Alligator mississippiensis: one gene and its partner. The protein of the gene in region 1 interacts with the protein of each later gene in a pairwise test. Links are inferred from orthologs where the notes say so. Each region holds a gene or a part of one and is shown on either strand. Other genes may lie near its edges.

Evidence for each region.
Region 2: the proteins of YTHDF1 (region 1) and DHX30 interact in a two-hybrid assay, tested with the Homo sapiens proteins (2 studies listed by BioGRID, with this or other methods). The link is inferred for Alligator mississippiensis from reciprocal best matches to the Homo sapiens genes YTHDF1 and DHX30.

Annotation. Positions count from the first base shown.
Region 1 is NC_081832.1:4,251,725-4,260,146, reverse strand, and holds the start of YTHDF1 (YTH domain-containing family protein 1), read right to left. Parts: upstream 3,681-8,422; 5' UTR 3,527-3,680; coding exon 3,500-3,526; intron 3,196-3,499; coding exon 3,171-3,195; intron 1,181-3,170; exon of another isoform or gene 1,179-1,180; coding exon 1,099-1,178; intron 1-1,098.
Region 2 is NC_081828.1:217,718,103-217,726,535, forward strand, and holds the start of DHX30 (ATP-dependent RNA helicase DHX30), read left to right. Parts: upstream 1-5,137; 5' UTR 5,138-6,122; coding exon 6,123-6,248; intron 6,249-8,433.

The DNA of each region.
Region 1 (8,422 bases):
CATTTTGCAAGCTTCAAAACAAGCCAAACATTAAGATTAAATAGCTACTTTCACTTGTAAGAATACTAGTATGTTGCTATGCATAGTTTTAAAGAAGGTTCTTTAAACAAGAATAAGAGAACCCAATCCAAGATGTTGGAGATATTTAGCTAGTGTATACTGTACATCAGTTACAGAGACCACTGTATTATGCTCTCCTTAAATATCTGTTCAGCCCTTCTCATAAAGGAGCAACAGAACAATTATGGACCAAGAGGCACACTGCTCTGCATTTGAGGAATATAGGGAAGGATCTAATCCAATAATTTTCACACCTCTAGTTCTGATGCATCTCATTTTCTCTGCTCTCATTTAAAACCATCTTAAGCAGCACTGCTTCTGTTTAAAATAAAAGAACATTCTCCTGGAAAGTATTCTACAAGTCATAGGCACTGTATCAATACATATTAGCAGGAAGCAGTAATATTTGAGTCTTACATCACATTGCCTTACTCTGGTGCACATGTTTAATTTAGTATTTTAAATTATATTTCCATGCTAAGCTGTTTCTGTTTTCTTTTTGTAAGCCATCCTGAGCCTTTGTTGGGAACAGTGGCACATTAACTGAATAAATAAAAACATGAACTCTAACAAAAAATCAGATTATGTATGTGAAGAAATGATATTTGCTGAAAGGTAGTAAGCAAATAGAGCTACTGTGCAAACTTCAAATCACAATCGTTACCAAGTCCATCTAAAAGCAGAATCTCTCAGTGACTGTAACAGGTGCTCTGACTACTGAAGAACTGCAAAACCAAGGCCTTACCAAGAAGCAACTATGTGAGATTTTACAATAATACTTTGATGTGGAAAGTATACAAGCTAGACCTGGACCATTATCTTCATTTTCACTTGTGACAAAGCTGAGCTAAAGTGCTAGTAACAGTACTCAGTAATACTTAATGCACTGGAGCTGTTTCTTTGGCTATTTCCCTTTTAAAGCCTCACAGACTTTGGGAGCTATGAGCATAGGAGAGTCATAGTAGTGTTTGCCATATACCTTACTATGCCCAATCTATACCTTAGAAACAAAGGTAAATTAACAAAAGATACACTAACCTGATTTGACTGTCCAGAAAGGTAAGGTTCAAAGTCGTTATCATGAACTGTATCCTTCTGATGTAATGAACCATTTTGTACTAAAACAAAACATTGCAACATGTTATTACATTGTTTAATAACATTTCAATGAAGAACCTCATCCTAAATTAACTGTAGAAAAAAATAGAGTACAGTAAATCCTTCTTGTGACATTGTCATTAATCCTTGACAAGGAAAGGGGTCAAATTTCTCTAAAATGAAAGTTTCCCAGTGCACTCTGAAAATCATTACTGCTTCCAAAACTAATTTGAATGACAATTTCAGAACATCTTATACTCAATTTTTTCCTACAGCTTGCAAGTTATAGTCAAATGAAGAACCTGCAATTTTAACAAGGGTGAACATGCACGTTATCTCCAGGAAATGTTAGAATCACAGAAAGGCATTTCTTGAGAAGAATGTGTGAATATGACTAGAGGACATAGCAATAACAGGTGTCCCTACTCCATGCCTATGACAATACAAATAGCAAACATCTGCTGTTCATACTGAGTTCTTTAAAAAGTTGTGTCAGCAGTGATAAAATAATGGCTGTTGGGTGTGTATTGCTTGGAAAAGCCAACAAAATGCTATCTTAAGCTTCACTTCCCTCACCTGTAAAATGGAAATACCTAGCTAAAACAAAGGGACATTTCAGGCTAAACATCAGCAAAGCTCTCTAAAAGGCACATTGAGAAGGTGCTATATAAAAAATGCAAAATGGTTATTTAAATTGCATCACACTTTATTTCTGCCAGTTATTGTGAAGCATAAAGCAAGCAGCATGCATTAAGTCTTTGCTAAGTAATCCAGCAGTTTCATAGAAAGGCTAAACTAAAAACAATGCCAGAGAAAAGAAAAATGCAAATACAATTCTTTTCAAAGATGACAAAAATAGTGACTTAAAATGGGTATGCAAAAGTAAAATAAGTTCAGGAAAAGCTGTCAAGGAAAATAGAACAGTATGTATAACATATATATAAACATAACTTATGTTATGCATACTGCATTTCCTGGAGATATATGCATAACATAAGTTATATATATATATATATATATATATATATATATATATATCTCCAGGAAATGTAGTATGCATAACATAAGTTATGTTATATATATACACAAGTGGAGAGATACCAGGAAGAGCACATACCAACTGCTAAAACTTCCTTAGCCTGACGAAAGGTTTTTTGAACCCAAAAGCTTTCTTAATAACTATTCTCCAACTATTTGGGTTGGTCTAATAAAAGATATCAAATTCACGCAAGGAACCTTGTCTGCCTATGTCCTTAGACCAACATGGCTACAACCGACACCCCTGTAACATAAATTAATGCATTTATAGAGCAGAGGAAATAATCTGAAACTTGTTAAGACTACAGCAGTTTGAAAAACCATGAAAAATGAAATCTGAAAGACATTTGTATGGCAGACCTACGCCTATGTAAACTAATAGGGGACCTGCTTCCATGCTAACGAGTATGTAATTATTCACCAATAATATTACAGTAACATAACTGACTTACAACTAGGCTAGTTAACTCACGAGACAACTTGCTGGCAAAGTTAAATATTTGATAAAGGAGGTCATACGCGTTGTCATACCGGCTTATTACGGGTATTTGTATCGTTCGATTAAAACGACTTGTAGGAAAAGAGTTGTAACACACCGGCCAAATCCAGCCCAACGACAGAAAAATAATGATATAACAGAAGCAACCTTGGGTGCGCGTTTGTGTTTTTAATTGGTCTTTTAAAGACTCTTCCACGCTGCATTTGTAGCCTTATTGAAGGCATCTTTACAAGAGAGGAGTGTGTGTTTGTAATCAAGCAGCCTCACAGGGATGAAACATCGAAACAAAAACGCTCAAAACACCCGCGTGCCAGGAATCCCATCCTTTACACAGCGTGCGTGCAAGACACCAAGCTCAGCTCCCGATGATGAGAAACCACCGTATCACCGACCTGCTTGCTCCGACATTTAAATAAGATGCAAATAGAAAGATGCATACCCCCCCCTTAAAATTCCCCCCCCCCCCCCTTCATACCTTTATTTTCCTGTCCTTTCGGTCTCTGCGATGCCCGGAGAAGAGGAGGTGGCGGGGGAGGGGGGGAGAAAGAGAAGAAAACTAATCAATTTTGTGAAATGTTTTTGCACAACCCAAAAGTTTGAGGTGGAGAATGACCCCCCCCCCTCCTCCCCCCACCCTATTAGGTTTGAGATTTCATACCACGCACAGACACGTGTGTGTGTGTGTGGGGGGGGGGGGGGGCTGATTTGGCCTTACCTGGAGCTGGTGTTGGGGTGGGAATACAGGGAAGGAGAGGGAGGGATGGACGGACACAGACGGGAGGAGGGTGGGGGAGGGGGGCTCACCTGAGGGTCGACGCTGGTGGCAGACATACTTCATGTAGGGCCCGGGGGGGGCGGGCGGCGGGCGCGGGGCCCGTGCGGGGGGGAGAGGCGCCCCCTGAGGCCGGGCGGGGGGGTGCGGGGGGGGGCGCGGGGAGGTGCGGGGCCCGCGGCCGCGATGCAGCGCGAGCCTCCAAGTCCAATGGCGGCGGGGACCGGGCTGCGGTGACGTCAACGCCGGAGCGCGCGCGGGGCAGGCCGGGAAAATATGGCCGGGCCGGGCTGGGAGGTGGGGGAGTGCAGAACCTGGCGCGCATGCGCGACTCTCTAGTGGGCAGGCGGGGGGAGGAGGCTGCAGGCGCTCGCGGCCCGACAGGGGGCGCACGGGGTTGGGCTCTGCGCATGCGTCCCAGTGCCCCCCATGCATGGGGATGACACAGCCCAGGATAGCAGTAGTGGCTCTTGGGAGGGCAAATGCCTGATGCTTTTGGGGGCCTTAACATTTTGCAATTTTTTTTTTTTTTAAGGGCTGATTTAATCCTTTTTCAACTGGGCTGAAGAGCAGCTTTTGGGGGCCCTAAACTTTTGCAATCCTTTTTTTTTTAGGGCTGATTTAATCCTTTTTTTAACTGGGCTGAAGAGTAGCTTTTGGGGGCCCTAAACTTTTGCAATCCTTTTTTTTTTAGGGCTGATTTAATCCTTTTTTAACTGGGCTGAAGAGCAGCTTTTGGGGGCCCTAAACTTTTGCAATCCTTTTTTTTTTTTTTTAAGGGCTGATTTAATCCTTTTTCAACTGGGCTGAAGAGCAGCTTTTGGGGGCCCTAAACTTTTGCAATCCTTTTTTTTTTTTTTTAAGGGCTGATTTAATCCTTTTTCAACTGGGCTGAAGAGCAGCTTTTGGGGGCCCTAAACTTTTGCAATCCTTTTTTTTTTAGGGCTGATTTAATCCTTTTTTAACTGGGCTGAAGAGTAGCTTTTGGGGGCCCTAAAATTTTGCAATCCTTTTTTTGGGGGGAGGTTTTTGCAAGGGTCAAACTGGTTCCCCCACCCCTGGGATTGGATGCTGTCCATGCAGCCTCTACCCTTGCAGTGAAATGCAGCCGCTGCAGTTCTCAGCGAGCGCCACCCACTTTGGGATCAGATTGCTTGTCATGCATCTCTTCGGTGATGTATTTTACCTGCCTTAGGCAAACCTCGCATCAGGAACTTTATTGATCCATAAGCAGTAGCTTCCTTTCTTTTCTCTCTCGCTCCGCTCGCCGTCATTTGACCCTACGAAGAACGTCTTGCAGTCGAAAGCTTGTCTAACTCTAACCCAACGACGTTACTGGTCCAGTAAAAGAGAGCACCCAAAAAAATCCTGACCTTACTGTTTAACAGAATATAAATGTCAGGTGATATTGTGGCCTAGCAGATCTCGCCCTTTCCCTTTGCTTTGTAGAGACCCCTTTATGACCAGTCATTAGCACCATGGTGACAATTTTTGATCTGACTCATGTATTTTGTTTTCCGGCACAATAATATGCAAATTCCTAGCTTGGAAAAACTAGCCCCATTAGCAAAGCTACCATTGATTTCAGTAGGACCAGGTTTTCAACCTATACATTTCAGGGAGCGTCGTCATTCACCTGTGTGTAGTACTGGTACGTGGAGAAATCAAACCGATATTGCTGGAGCAAGGTGTCTGTTCCTGCTGAAACCATGTCAGAGTTGAAGCCCTGTAGCTTTAGAGAAAGGCCTGGCATTTCTCTAATGAGATCAAAATTATTGAAAGCAGTGCCCTTTTAGTCCTAGCAGCTGAATCCCAACTTGTTAGCCGCTGTAGCTCTGCTTCTCCCTGTAGATAACGGTGCTTTAGGAATGGGTAGAGTGTTTAGCAACCAGATTCATTGTTATTTGTATTGCAGCAATGCCCCAGAGCAGAGCCCCGATCATGGATTAGGGCTACGCTGTGATAGGTGCTGCACAAAGAACAAAAACAATCCCTGTCCCAGACAGCTTACAGACTTTTAATTGCTTATTATTATAATGCAAAAGGTCTAAGTTAATATGTTTTCTGTCCTAATAGGATATATCCTAATGTTTTTATTTTAAAATTTCAGAGCCAAACCATGCTCTTTGTTGATATGACGGTGAAGAATCTGCATGTGCCATTGTTATATTAACATTTATTTGGTGTTAGTGCTCAAAGACCTCCGCTGGGTCAGAGGCCCCACTGTGCAACCAGTGAATGCAAGCTTTTCTGGGCAGAAACTGCCAATCTAAAGTCATGCGGCGCTTCCAACAGTGGCAATGTGCTTGCAGGTCAGAAAGTCTATCCAAATATAGAACCCAAATACTCTACTGCCCTGGGAGCCTGTAACACCATGACAAAACCTGCTGGTCCCTGTGCACGCAAACAAACGGTGAGGTTGACCGTACAAAGCTCGTAGACTCTTCTCTCCCACTCCTGTCTAAAGCAGGCATATTGCATAGCTGTCGAATATGCACCACAAATGCTCTGGTAGCTCAGTGGTCCACGTAGCTTATCACCTAATACAAGTGCCCGTCATCTGCCTGGAGAATGGGAATAAAGGAGGCTTATATTTGAAAAGAGCATCTGTATAATGCATGGCTATGCATGCCCAGAAACCTGACTTCCCTTCAGAGGTATCATACAGCACTCAGGGTTTTTCTATGACCATAGTCTCTTTTTTAGCTTGAACCTGACTCTTTTTGATTGGTTCCCTGACACACACATACAGCATCTGCTGTTATAGGATATGAGTGATACAACAAAGCACTAAAGAAAATAAAAAGAACAGACTGTTGAGGCCTATTTAACATAATGTGCAACTGCTGGAGCTAACACATGGCTTATAATCTGCTACAGAATACCGCACTACGTTTTATATTAGCCCATTGTTTTATTTGAAAACAACAAAAGAAATGATTGCCACAGTGCTGCATATTTCTCCAAAAGAAAGCTGGGGCTGCTGGTTGGGGATCTCCAAGTTATATCACAGTCCTGCTTTAGGGAAGAATTCGCTCATGGAACTGATTTCTAATATTTTGCAACAGGATATTTTGCTGCTCAGAGCAACGGGGTGGCAGAGGACTTCTGTCACCTGAGATGTGCACAAGCTCTGCCAAGAACCAAACCGTGTGGTGTCAGTAATCAGTCTCACCGTTATGTAACACGGATGTTCAGCGTTCTGGTAACACCGGTCAAGCTTTCTGTGTATCGGCAGATAGTTACTGTAAATCTTATATGCATGCACTCTATTGTTAGATTTTTTAGAAGTAGTATATATCAATGCTTAGGAAGAGTGACGGGCTAAATATTAATAACCTTGTCCTTAGATCAGCTACAATTATGATGCAGACAGCAATAGTGACAGTTTCCCTATCCTTAAAAGTTGCAACCCACTTAGGGCTAGGTTTTGGTTATGATCAGGTAGTTGGATTTGTCTGCTGCTAGAGATCAAAATGAATCCTCTGTTCCTCCAAGTTGAATGATCCAGTCTTTTCATGTCCTCTTTTCCACCAGTAATCAAAGGAGAGATGAGAAAGGTAGGGGATCAGTGCAACAGCTTGTCACTTGTGGATGTCTGAGCTCTAATTCTGTCTTAGTTTCCAAGTAACAATTGGTTTGCAAGTAAGAATTGGTCCATCCCAATTCCCTTTGTCTTTGTCCTTAACATACAACATAGTTGGCACTAAGTCTATAGAAAAGCCTCTGAAAGAACCCCGCATCTCATTCAGGACTACCTTCACTACCTTTAGATACAAACTTCACATATGATAAGTGCAGAAAGGACTGCCATTCAAGGATTGGGCTTTAGAGCCATGCTTACAGACGTTCAACGAGCTGATGCCTCACTTGGCACAAATCTATTGTCTCATGAGACAGACAGATGCCTATTATTATTAGTTGTCAGTCTATGCCCTGGATAATCTCTGGAATTAAACAGAAGGAATACGACCCAAAAGTACAAGGCAAAAAGGACAGAATTGTGAGATTAAAGCTAGTAGTTGGGAGAAAAAAATCTAATTGCGGAAAATAAAGAAAGCAATAGGCCCAAAAATTTCCCAAAAGGAAAGAAAAATGCCCCTTTCCTTTTCCTTAACCTATTCTAGGGTTCATGAATGTCACTTCCTTCAATAAACTGTGGCTAAAAGAGCAATTGAAAAATGAATTTGGGGATGAATCATAAAAAATGATTACAAGATACAGTAATGAAAGATACCACTTTTCACTGTTATTGGTGATTACAAGTTTCCCTTGCTTTATGCGGGTTTTCTATGTAAGAATTCGCTCTTATGTGATGACCCTTTTTATACCAAAAAATTTGCCATATGAGAGGTAAATTCACTCTTATATGATCGATGTGGTGGAAGCCCGCAGTCCGCTGCTTTGTGCGGTGCATGGTGGGAGTGACACGCACCAACATAGTCTCCTGCACAGATCTGTGCTCCTCGCTCATGATCGGTAACACGTGTTTCTGCAGTTGCCATGCCCATTATGATAGCGCCTTGTGCTTGTGTGCACTGTCTGCTGTTGTAAAAGTGGTAGAAATGGATCTGGGGGTCAGTACAGTCGAGGTCTTGCAACGTATCCCTATTTGTTACATTGTCAAGTGGGTTTCCTTTATGCAAATATGAATTATACACCATTTTCCAGGAGTGCATGTACAGCATAAAATGAGGGAAACCTGTACTGTAAATTTAGGATTTTTTTTTTTTATTAGGGGAGAAATCCAGATTTGAATAAGCAGGAGACTATTGCAACCAACGTAGACAAACAGGATTGGATCCTCCCTTTCACTCCTTTCTCTCAGTATACTCTGTGTGGCTGATGGTTATGCAGCACAGCAGAAAAACAGGCCCTTGTGCAAAGGAACCATCAAACTGTGGAAAGCTAGGGTGGAAGTTCAGCCTAAGATGGAAATAAATTTTAAAAATAAT
Region 2 (8,433 bases), on another chromosome or scaffold:
CTGTGGCCTGACCAGTGTCGCGTAGAGGGGGAGGATCACCTCCTTGGACCTGCTCAAGATGCATCTGTGGATGCACGACAAGGTGCGGTTGCCCTTCCTGACCGTGTCCCCGCACTGTCGGCCCATGTTCATTTTGGCATCAATGATGACTCCAAGATCCTTTTCTGCCTCTGCGCTGACAAGAAGGGAGTTCCCCAGACTGGAGGTCTGCTGCTGGTTCTTCCTCCCCAGGTGCAGCCCCTTGCACTTGTCAGTGTTGAAACCCATCCTGTTCTCATCCGCCCACCCCTGTAACCTGTCTAGATCCAATTGCAGCCTATTCCTCCCTTCCAGCATGCCCACATCCCCCCACATCTTAGTGTCATCAGTCAATTTGAACAGGTTGCTTTTCACCCCCTCGTCCAAGTCGCTGATGAAGATGTTGAACAGCGCAGGCCCGAGGACCGAGCCCTGGGGGACCCCACTGCCCACATCCCTCCAGGTCAAAAATGACCTGTCCACCACCACTCTCTGGGTGCGGCCCTCCAGCCAGTTAGCGACCTATCTCACTGTGGAGGTGTCGACGCCACAGCCCCCTAGTTTTTTAACGAGAATGGAGTGAGAGACAGTGTCGAAGGCCTTCCTAAAGTCCAGAAAGACTACGTCCACTGCTACCCCTGCATCTAAGGATGTTGTGACCTGGTCGTAGAAGGCACCAGGTTGGTCTGACAGCACCTGCCTCGAATGAACCTGTGTTGGCTGCCCCTAAGCATGATCTGCCCTGCCGGCCCCTCGTGGACATGCGCTAGAATAACTCTCTCAAAAAGCTCACCCAGGATCGAGGTAAGACTAACTGACCTATAGTTCCCTGGGTCCTCCTTCCTCCCTTTTTTGAAGATGGGGACCACGTTGGCCCTTTTCCAGTCCTCTGGTACAATGCCAGGGCACCACGAGTGCTCATAAAGCTGTGCAGGGGTCCCGCAATGACCTCTGCTAATTCCCTCAGCACTCGGGGGTGGAGATCATCAGGACCAGCTGATTTAAATATGTCCAGTCCCTCCAGAAGTTCCCTGACTTGATCCTCGCTGACCCTAGGCCTGGCTGCGCCTCCCCTGGGGCCTGAGGGGGTCCCGGCGGACGGGCTGATCCGGTCCCTGCTCAGGAAAACGGAGGCAAAGAAATTGTTAAATAAGTTAGCCTTGTCGTCTGGTGTGACAACCGGATTTCCTAGCGTGTCTTGCAGAGGTCCCACGTTACCTGGCACCTTCTTTTTGCCCCCTATGTATTTAAAGAAGGACTTCTTGTTGTCCTTGATCCAGGTAGCTAGTCCCAGTCCCATCTCCGCCTTGGCCTTCCTGACCACCCTCCTGCAGCCCCGAGCACCCGAGGTGTAGTCCTCCCTGGGGATGGTCCCTCCCTGCCATTGGGTGTACGCCTCCCTTTTAGCCAGGAGACGTTCCCGTATGCTCTTGGTGAGCCATGGGGACTTTTGCACCCTCTTGCCCCTTTGACCCATGTTGGGATTACCTCCCTTTGGGCTTGGAGGATCGTCTCCTTAAGGAACGACCACTCTTCTTGGACACCCGACTCCCCTCCCCTCCAGGACCTCAGTGCTTCTCCAACTAGTCTCCTTACCTCATTGAAATCTGCCCTCCTGAAGTCCAGGGCTGCTGTCTTGCTGCAGGCTTTTGCCACCTTGCACTCATTGCCACTCATGGCAATGAAAAATGAGGAGGCTGTTAAAGGAATACCCCCAAATGCTGACACGTTACATTTCCCTTGAGCGCAATGACGCCTGTGGATGGATAGTTACCAGAAATGAGGGGCTCGATCTTGCAGACACACACAGCTCCCTTTACCCCGAGAAGCAGTCCCACAGGTGTCACTGGGATGAGGAATGGCAATGGTTTGGGGTCTTGCACCTCAAGATGGCAGATTCAAATCCAGCCCAGGTGTGGGCACAAAGAACCTGTTCCTGAAAGGTACCGGACACCCATTTGATAGAGAATAACGTAGCCCAGGTTCAAGAGCAACAACATGTCTGAGATGAGCTGCAGGATTTGTATAATTCCTCGTAAGGGTATGGTTAAACAATACCCTGCTTGCTAAGGTTGGAATTTGGCTTCAGATTTAAGACATCTGTGACATGTACAGTTCCAGCTTCGTTGCACAAGAGTACACGTGACGTTTGCTATACAGAGGAGGGCACAGGGACAATCAGGCACTATCTCCTAGTACAGGTGTTTCTGTGAAAGCACCCTAACATGGCTCTCGCAAGGACCGTCACCTGGAGAGGCTGGAATGAATTCCTGATTAACCTTGTACGTGCCCGGGGACAGTCCCAATTTCCCCTCTGCTTCTCTCTCGCTGTGCCGGTTGCTCCCTGCGCGTCCTTCTTTGTCTCCAAGCCCTGCATCAACTACAATTAAAGCACGCAGGCAGGGCTTGCAGCAGACAACCATTTAATTAGGGGAAAATGCAACAGTTATTGACCTCTGGTGCTTCACGTGAGAACTGCAGTGGCACAAATGGCCTTCATGTCCTCGCTCTCCAGGACTGGGCTCTGCTCCAGCCAAAGAAAGACCCAGACCCACATTATCGCACCCCAAACCCACACCTTTCAGCTGGAACGGACTGCAGGGCCAGGACCTGCAACATCCCACAGACCTTTAGAGACAGGATCTAGACAGCTTGGACCATGGACCTAGCCAGGGGACTCTAGTTGCGTGATACACGTGCCCCCTTCCCAACCGAGACTCAGGGCAGCTTGCAGCACGAGAAACCGACTCAGAGAAAACCAGAATAAAGCAGAGACCCACGACATAGCCCCTCAGCCCAGCTCCGGTGAGGCAGGCATTTACATGAGTACATCTAGGATGTTCTTTTCCCTCTCATATACTTAATTTCCCCCTCCACACATCATTAATATGGCAGAGCCACACAACAGCTTTATTGTGGATGCTTGCCAGGCCTTTATCCTGGGTACGTGGGTGTGTTGCAGACGTGAGGAGGTGGTCAGCAGTCTGTGGTGCAACACCACACTCACATACCGGACGGTTCTCCAAGCCAGTCTTACAGAGCGTGGCATTAAAGCATCCAGCTCCAGAGCAAATCCTGTTTAGTTTAATCCATAAATTGCTGATTATGGATCTAGGAACTTGCAGACTTACGGATCTAGGATGTTGAAAAGCAAGGTGCAGATGGTGAGGCGCATCATCACATATAAAGAACACCTATTTTTCTCCAGGTGAAAAGAAACTAGAAGCTTTACTAATAGGCCTGGGGATTGGGGCTGGATGAGTCTGTTTAAAATTGAGGCAAAAACAAATACAACTTCACTGGAATTAAAGCAGTATCTGCAGGGCTGTGAAATAGGAGCTCCAGCACCAGGCGCAGGCAATGGACAGCAGAACTGCAGACCAAAGGATGCTTGATCGCTGGAACATCAAGACCGTTGAAAGGAAGAGGGTCGTCCACACCTGTGGGATGAGGGGTGTAGAAGGGATCTGATAGGTGACAACGGACTCCCTCAGCGCTGCCTGACCAGCAACGCTGCCGTCACTGCCCGGCAGCTGGTTTTAAACTATGGCTGGAGCCGGACTCAAAGCGGGGTGCAAATGCACCACTGCATCCCCCGGCATCCACCCCTGGGCATTTAGCAGCCAGAAACACCCAGGCTCAGGCAGCCTCAAGAGGGAGGGAGCTCCAGGGCTGCGCCGTGGTGGCTGGCAGCCATCTCCCCCCGTTCCAGCCCAGCGGACTCAGCACACGGCTGGTCCTTGCAGGAGGCTGCCCTTGCGGGGCAGAGGGACGGGTTCCCCTCGGGGCCTGGCTGTGTAGGGCTTTGTAGGTCACACCCAGTGCCTTGAATTGCTATATGGGACTAGGCTGCTATATGGGACTGGGCAGTACTGCTATGTGAGCAGGGAGGGCGTCGCAAAGGTCTGTAGCAGTCCAATCCTATACAGCCACACGTCTGGTCCTGTATAGCAGCCTGGTCCTATACAGCAACACTGGCCTGTCCCGTATAGCAGCCTGGGCCTGTACAGCCCCCCTGACCTCCCACAGGGCAGCTCAGTCCTACGCTGCCTGGTCCCATACAGCAGCACTGCCCTGTCCTGTCTAGCAACCTGACCCCATACAGCCCCCCGACGAGTCCCACAGGGCAGCCTGGTCCCATATAGCAACACCGCCTGGTCCCATACAGCATCCTAGTCCCTAGAGCAGCCCTGCCCTGTCCTGTATAGCAGCCTGGTCCCATACGGTACTGCCCAGCCCAGCCCCATACAGCAGCCTGGTCCCATATAGCAACCTGGCCCCATATAGCAGCACTGCCCGGTCCCATATAGTAGTCCGGTTCCATATAGCAGCCTAGCCCCACATAGCAGTACTGCCCAGTCCCATATAGCAGCCCAGTCCCGTATAGCAGCACTGCCCAGTCCCATATAGCAACACTGCCCGGTCCCATATAACAGCACGGTCCCATATAGCAGCCTAGCCCTACATAGCAGCACTGCCCCGTCCCGTATAGCATCCTGGTCCCATATAGCAGCACTGCCAGGTCCCATATAGCAACACTGCCCAGTCCCATATAACAGCCCAGTCCCATATAGCAGCCTAGCCCTACATAGCAGCGCTGCCCTGTCCCGTATAGCATCCTGGTCCCATATAGCAGCACTGCCAGGTCCCATATAGCAGCCTAGCCCTACATAGCAGCACTGCCCCGTCCCGTATAGCATCCTGGTCCCATATAGCAGCACTGCCAGGTCCCATATAGCAGCCTAGCCCCACATAGCAACACTGCCCAATCCCATACAGCATCCTGATCCTATGTAGCAGCACTGCCCGATCCCTGTCCCCTAGGCGCGCCAGCCCCCATTGGCCCCGCCCCCGCGCTCCCATTGGCCCCGCCGGTTGCCATGGCGACACGCCGTCTCCCCCCCACATCCGGTAGCCGGGCTGCGGGGCGGAAGTCGGCGCGTTCAGTTCCGGGCCATGCCCCGGAAGCGCAGCGCGCGGGCGCCCGGGAGCGGTAGTCCCGGCGGGCGAGGGCCGGCGCCGCGGAGTTGCGAGGAGGTCGGTGCGGGGGCCCGGCGGGGCGGGGTGGAGGGCGGGGGGCCGGGCCCGAGCCCCCAAGCTCGCGGGCGCGGGGAGGGGCGGGGTCCGCGGGCGGGCCGCGGGGTCGCATCCTCCGCGCCCGGCTTTGTGGAGACTCTCCAGCCCGGGCCAGACCGCCTGCAGCTCGGCGCCGCGTCCGCCGGGGCCAAAAACAAAGCTGCCATCGCCGGGGTCCGGAACGAGCTCCGGCATCCTCCGCCATCACGCCTCGCGGCGGCCCCTCGTGCCCGTTAGTCGCGGGCCCGCCCCTCCTCGCGCGTGGGGGCGCGAAACACGGGAGCCCTTCGTCTCGTCTCGGTCCGGAGGAAGAGGACGGCTCCGCCAGGCTCATTATCCTGCCGAGTCTTAGGGGGCCGCTAGCGGTCATTCGCTGACCGCGTTGCCTCTTGGCGCCGGACACCGGTTGGGACGCGGGGCAGGAGTCCGCTCGAGCCGCTCGCTACGCCAGAAGGTGCCGCCCGACGATCTGCGGAGGCCTCGTGCGACCCCGAAAATCTGTGAAATGGATGAATTTCTGGGGCGTGCGTCCCCGCGTGCGACCGTCTAGGTCGGCCGCCCGGTTTGTCAGCGTTTAGCTCGTGAATCGCCTCCGGGGAAGTTTCGCTCGCTCAAAAGACACGTGATTACTTGCGACCGCAGTGGGACCGCTTGGTCGTCCGCGTAGACTGAGGCAGGAGGTCTTTCTCGGTTGCCTTTCCTCTCCACTGAGAGTTTTGCCGTGAATATTTGAGTAAGCGAGCGGCGTTTGGGATCGGGTCCCTCGTACGCTCTTTGGAGAGGGAATACAACTGTAATGAGTGTTATAAGTTGTAAGCTCATGTCCAGGGTGCACGTATGTGTTACTGACAGCTTGGATCCATGCAGGAAAGAAGAGCCTGAAGAACCAGACCTCCTGGAGCCAGCTGTCCTCTTTAAAAGCGCTTGGAGGTTAGGTGAGGAAAAGGGCAAATATATAGTGCCCAGCTTTAAGGAAGGAAAGGAGGAGGACCTGGGGAGTCAGCCTGCCCTTGATACCTGGGAAGATCATGGAGCAGGTCCTCCAGGAGTCTCTTGCGAAGCGCCGAGAGGACAGCCGAGGGATCAGGAACAGCCCGCATGGATTCCCCACGAGCAAGTCATGCCTGACCAACCTGATTTCCTTCTACCATAAGGTGACAGGCTATGTGAATGGGGGGCAAGCAGTGGATGTGATGTATAGACCTTGGCTTTAGCAATGCTTTTGAAACGCTCTCGCATGACAGTCTCATTCGCCAGCTAAAGAAAAGAGGACTAGACGAAAGTACTACGAGGTGGATACGTAACTGGTTAGATCACCTGTGGTCTGTGGACCTTGGGGGTCCGCAGACTATGTCTAGGGGGTCCGTGATCAATCAAAAGTATGTGAATACTCACACTTATAATTCAAAGGGGTCTGTGCTTCCATTCAAAATTTCCACTGGGCTCTGTACCTCCACTTGACATTTTTTAGGGGTCCGCAAATGAAAAAAGATTGAAAACCACTTGCTTAGATTAGATTAGGCATTAATGGCTCAATGTTTAGTTGCAAGGAGGTATTAAGCGGGGCTCCCCTAGATTCTGTCCTGGGTTTGCTGTCGTTCAGCATCTTTATGAATGTTTTGGTTGATGGGATTGAGTGCACACTTAAATTTGAGGATGTCACCAAGTAGGATGGAGTTGCGGGCGCTTTGTAGGGTAGGATACAGAATGACTTGGACAGACTGGAAAAATGGCCAGCTGAGATCCAGCACGGAAATGTGCAAAGCCCTGCGCTTGGGATAAAATACTTGCATGCACAAATACAGGCTGGGGAATGACTGGCTAAGCTGCAGGACTGCAAAGAAAGACCTGGGGGTGACAGCGGACCATAAGCTGAATATGAGCCAGCAGCGTGATTTCGTTGTAAAAATAGCCGACAGCACCCGGGGTTGTACTAACAGGAGTGTCACTTGCAAATCACAGGAAGCGATGCTTCTCTGTTCAGCACTGGGGAGGCCTCCCCCCGGAGTACAGGGTCCGGTTCTGGGCTCCACACTTCAGAAAGAATGTGCACAGATTGGAAAGTCCAGCGAAGCATGACAGAAATGATTAGGGGCTTGGGAAGCGAGGAAAGGCTGAAAGAACTACAGTTATTTAGTCTGGAGAAGAGAAGACTGAGGGGGGATTTGATCACAGTCTTCAAATACCTGAAAGGCGATTGCAAAGAGGATGGAGATGCGCTTTTCTCTGTGGCTGTAAGGGATAGGACTAGGAGCAGTGGCCTCAGGCTACAGCCAGGGTAATTTAGGTTGGAAATGAGGAGGAAATTCCTGACTGAGGGTGGTCAAGCATTGAATGGGCTGCTTGGAGGACTTGTGGAATCTCCATCCTTGGATATTTTCAAGAGCAGGTTGGACAAACACTTGGTTGGGAAGGTTTATTTAGGGATGGTCCTGCCTTGAGCAGGAGGCTAGACTAGATGATTTTGCAAGATCCCGTCCAACTTTACTTTCCTATGATCCTGCTTATATGGAGAAGAAGCCACATCGCTTTTTGCCTAGTTCAGCTTTTCCATGCAGTTTAAACTCTTTATCACTAAAATAAGGTCTGGCTTTGTGTATATGCTGGGAACATCTCCGAGTGCTGTTTTCATGTAGCTCTACTCTGAAAAGAGGCTTTGCATTAGGTCTGATTCTGTCTCCCTGGAATAAATAGGATTTTCCCATTGACTGCAGTGGTCACTCCAAAAGTATAATATTAACATTAATAATAATTACTATTAACAATTACAGTGGATGATTAATATTTTAATATGAATATGGACATTGTCATCTGAATGGGAAGCCCGCCCAGCTCTGCTTCCAGTTTGTTACAAAATCCTTGCTACTCTATCAGATGTACCCTAAAATTGTCCTACCTTTAAGTGATCAGGCTGAGTAGATCCTTTCCCAAATTAAGCTTTGTGGTCCTGGCATTTTTCTTGTTCCCAGCCAGATGTCCTAAGCTCCTGTTGAGGAAACTGCAGGCAAAGCTGCATATTGAAAAAAAATTCATAACTTCTTAGCTGGGAAAAAGCAAATGCAAAAGAATTCAGGCTGCTTTATATGTGGAAAATCTTTCACAGATGTATGCCAGTGTTTTAAAGAAAAAACCCTGAGAGAAATCACAGAAACCATCGACCTATGTATTGTGTTTCAGTCCCACGTGACCTGAACTAGTCAAAATTCAAATACCTGTAAATCAGTAGCAGCTTTTATCCAGATAATTTCCAAGGCTTTTGAAAACTTTAATATTCAGAGGGATCATTTCCCTTATGGCTAGGATATAACACAGCAGCTGTTAAACAGCGTGTAGCCATGC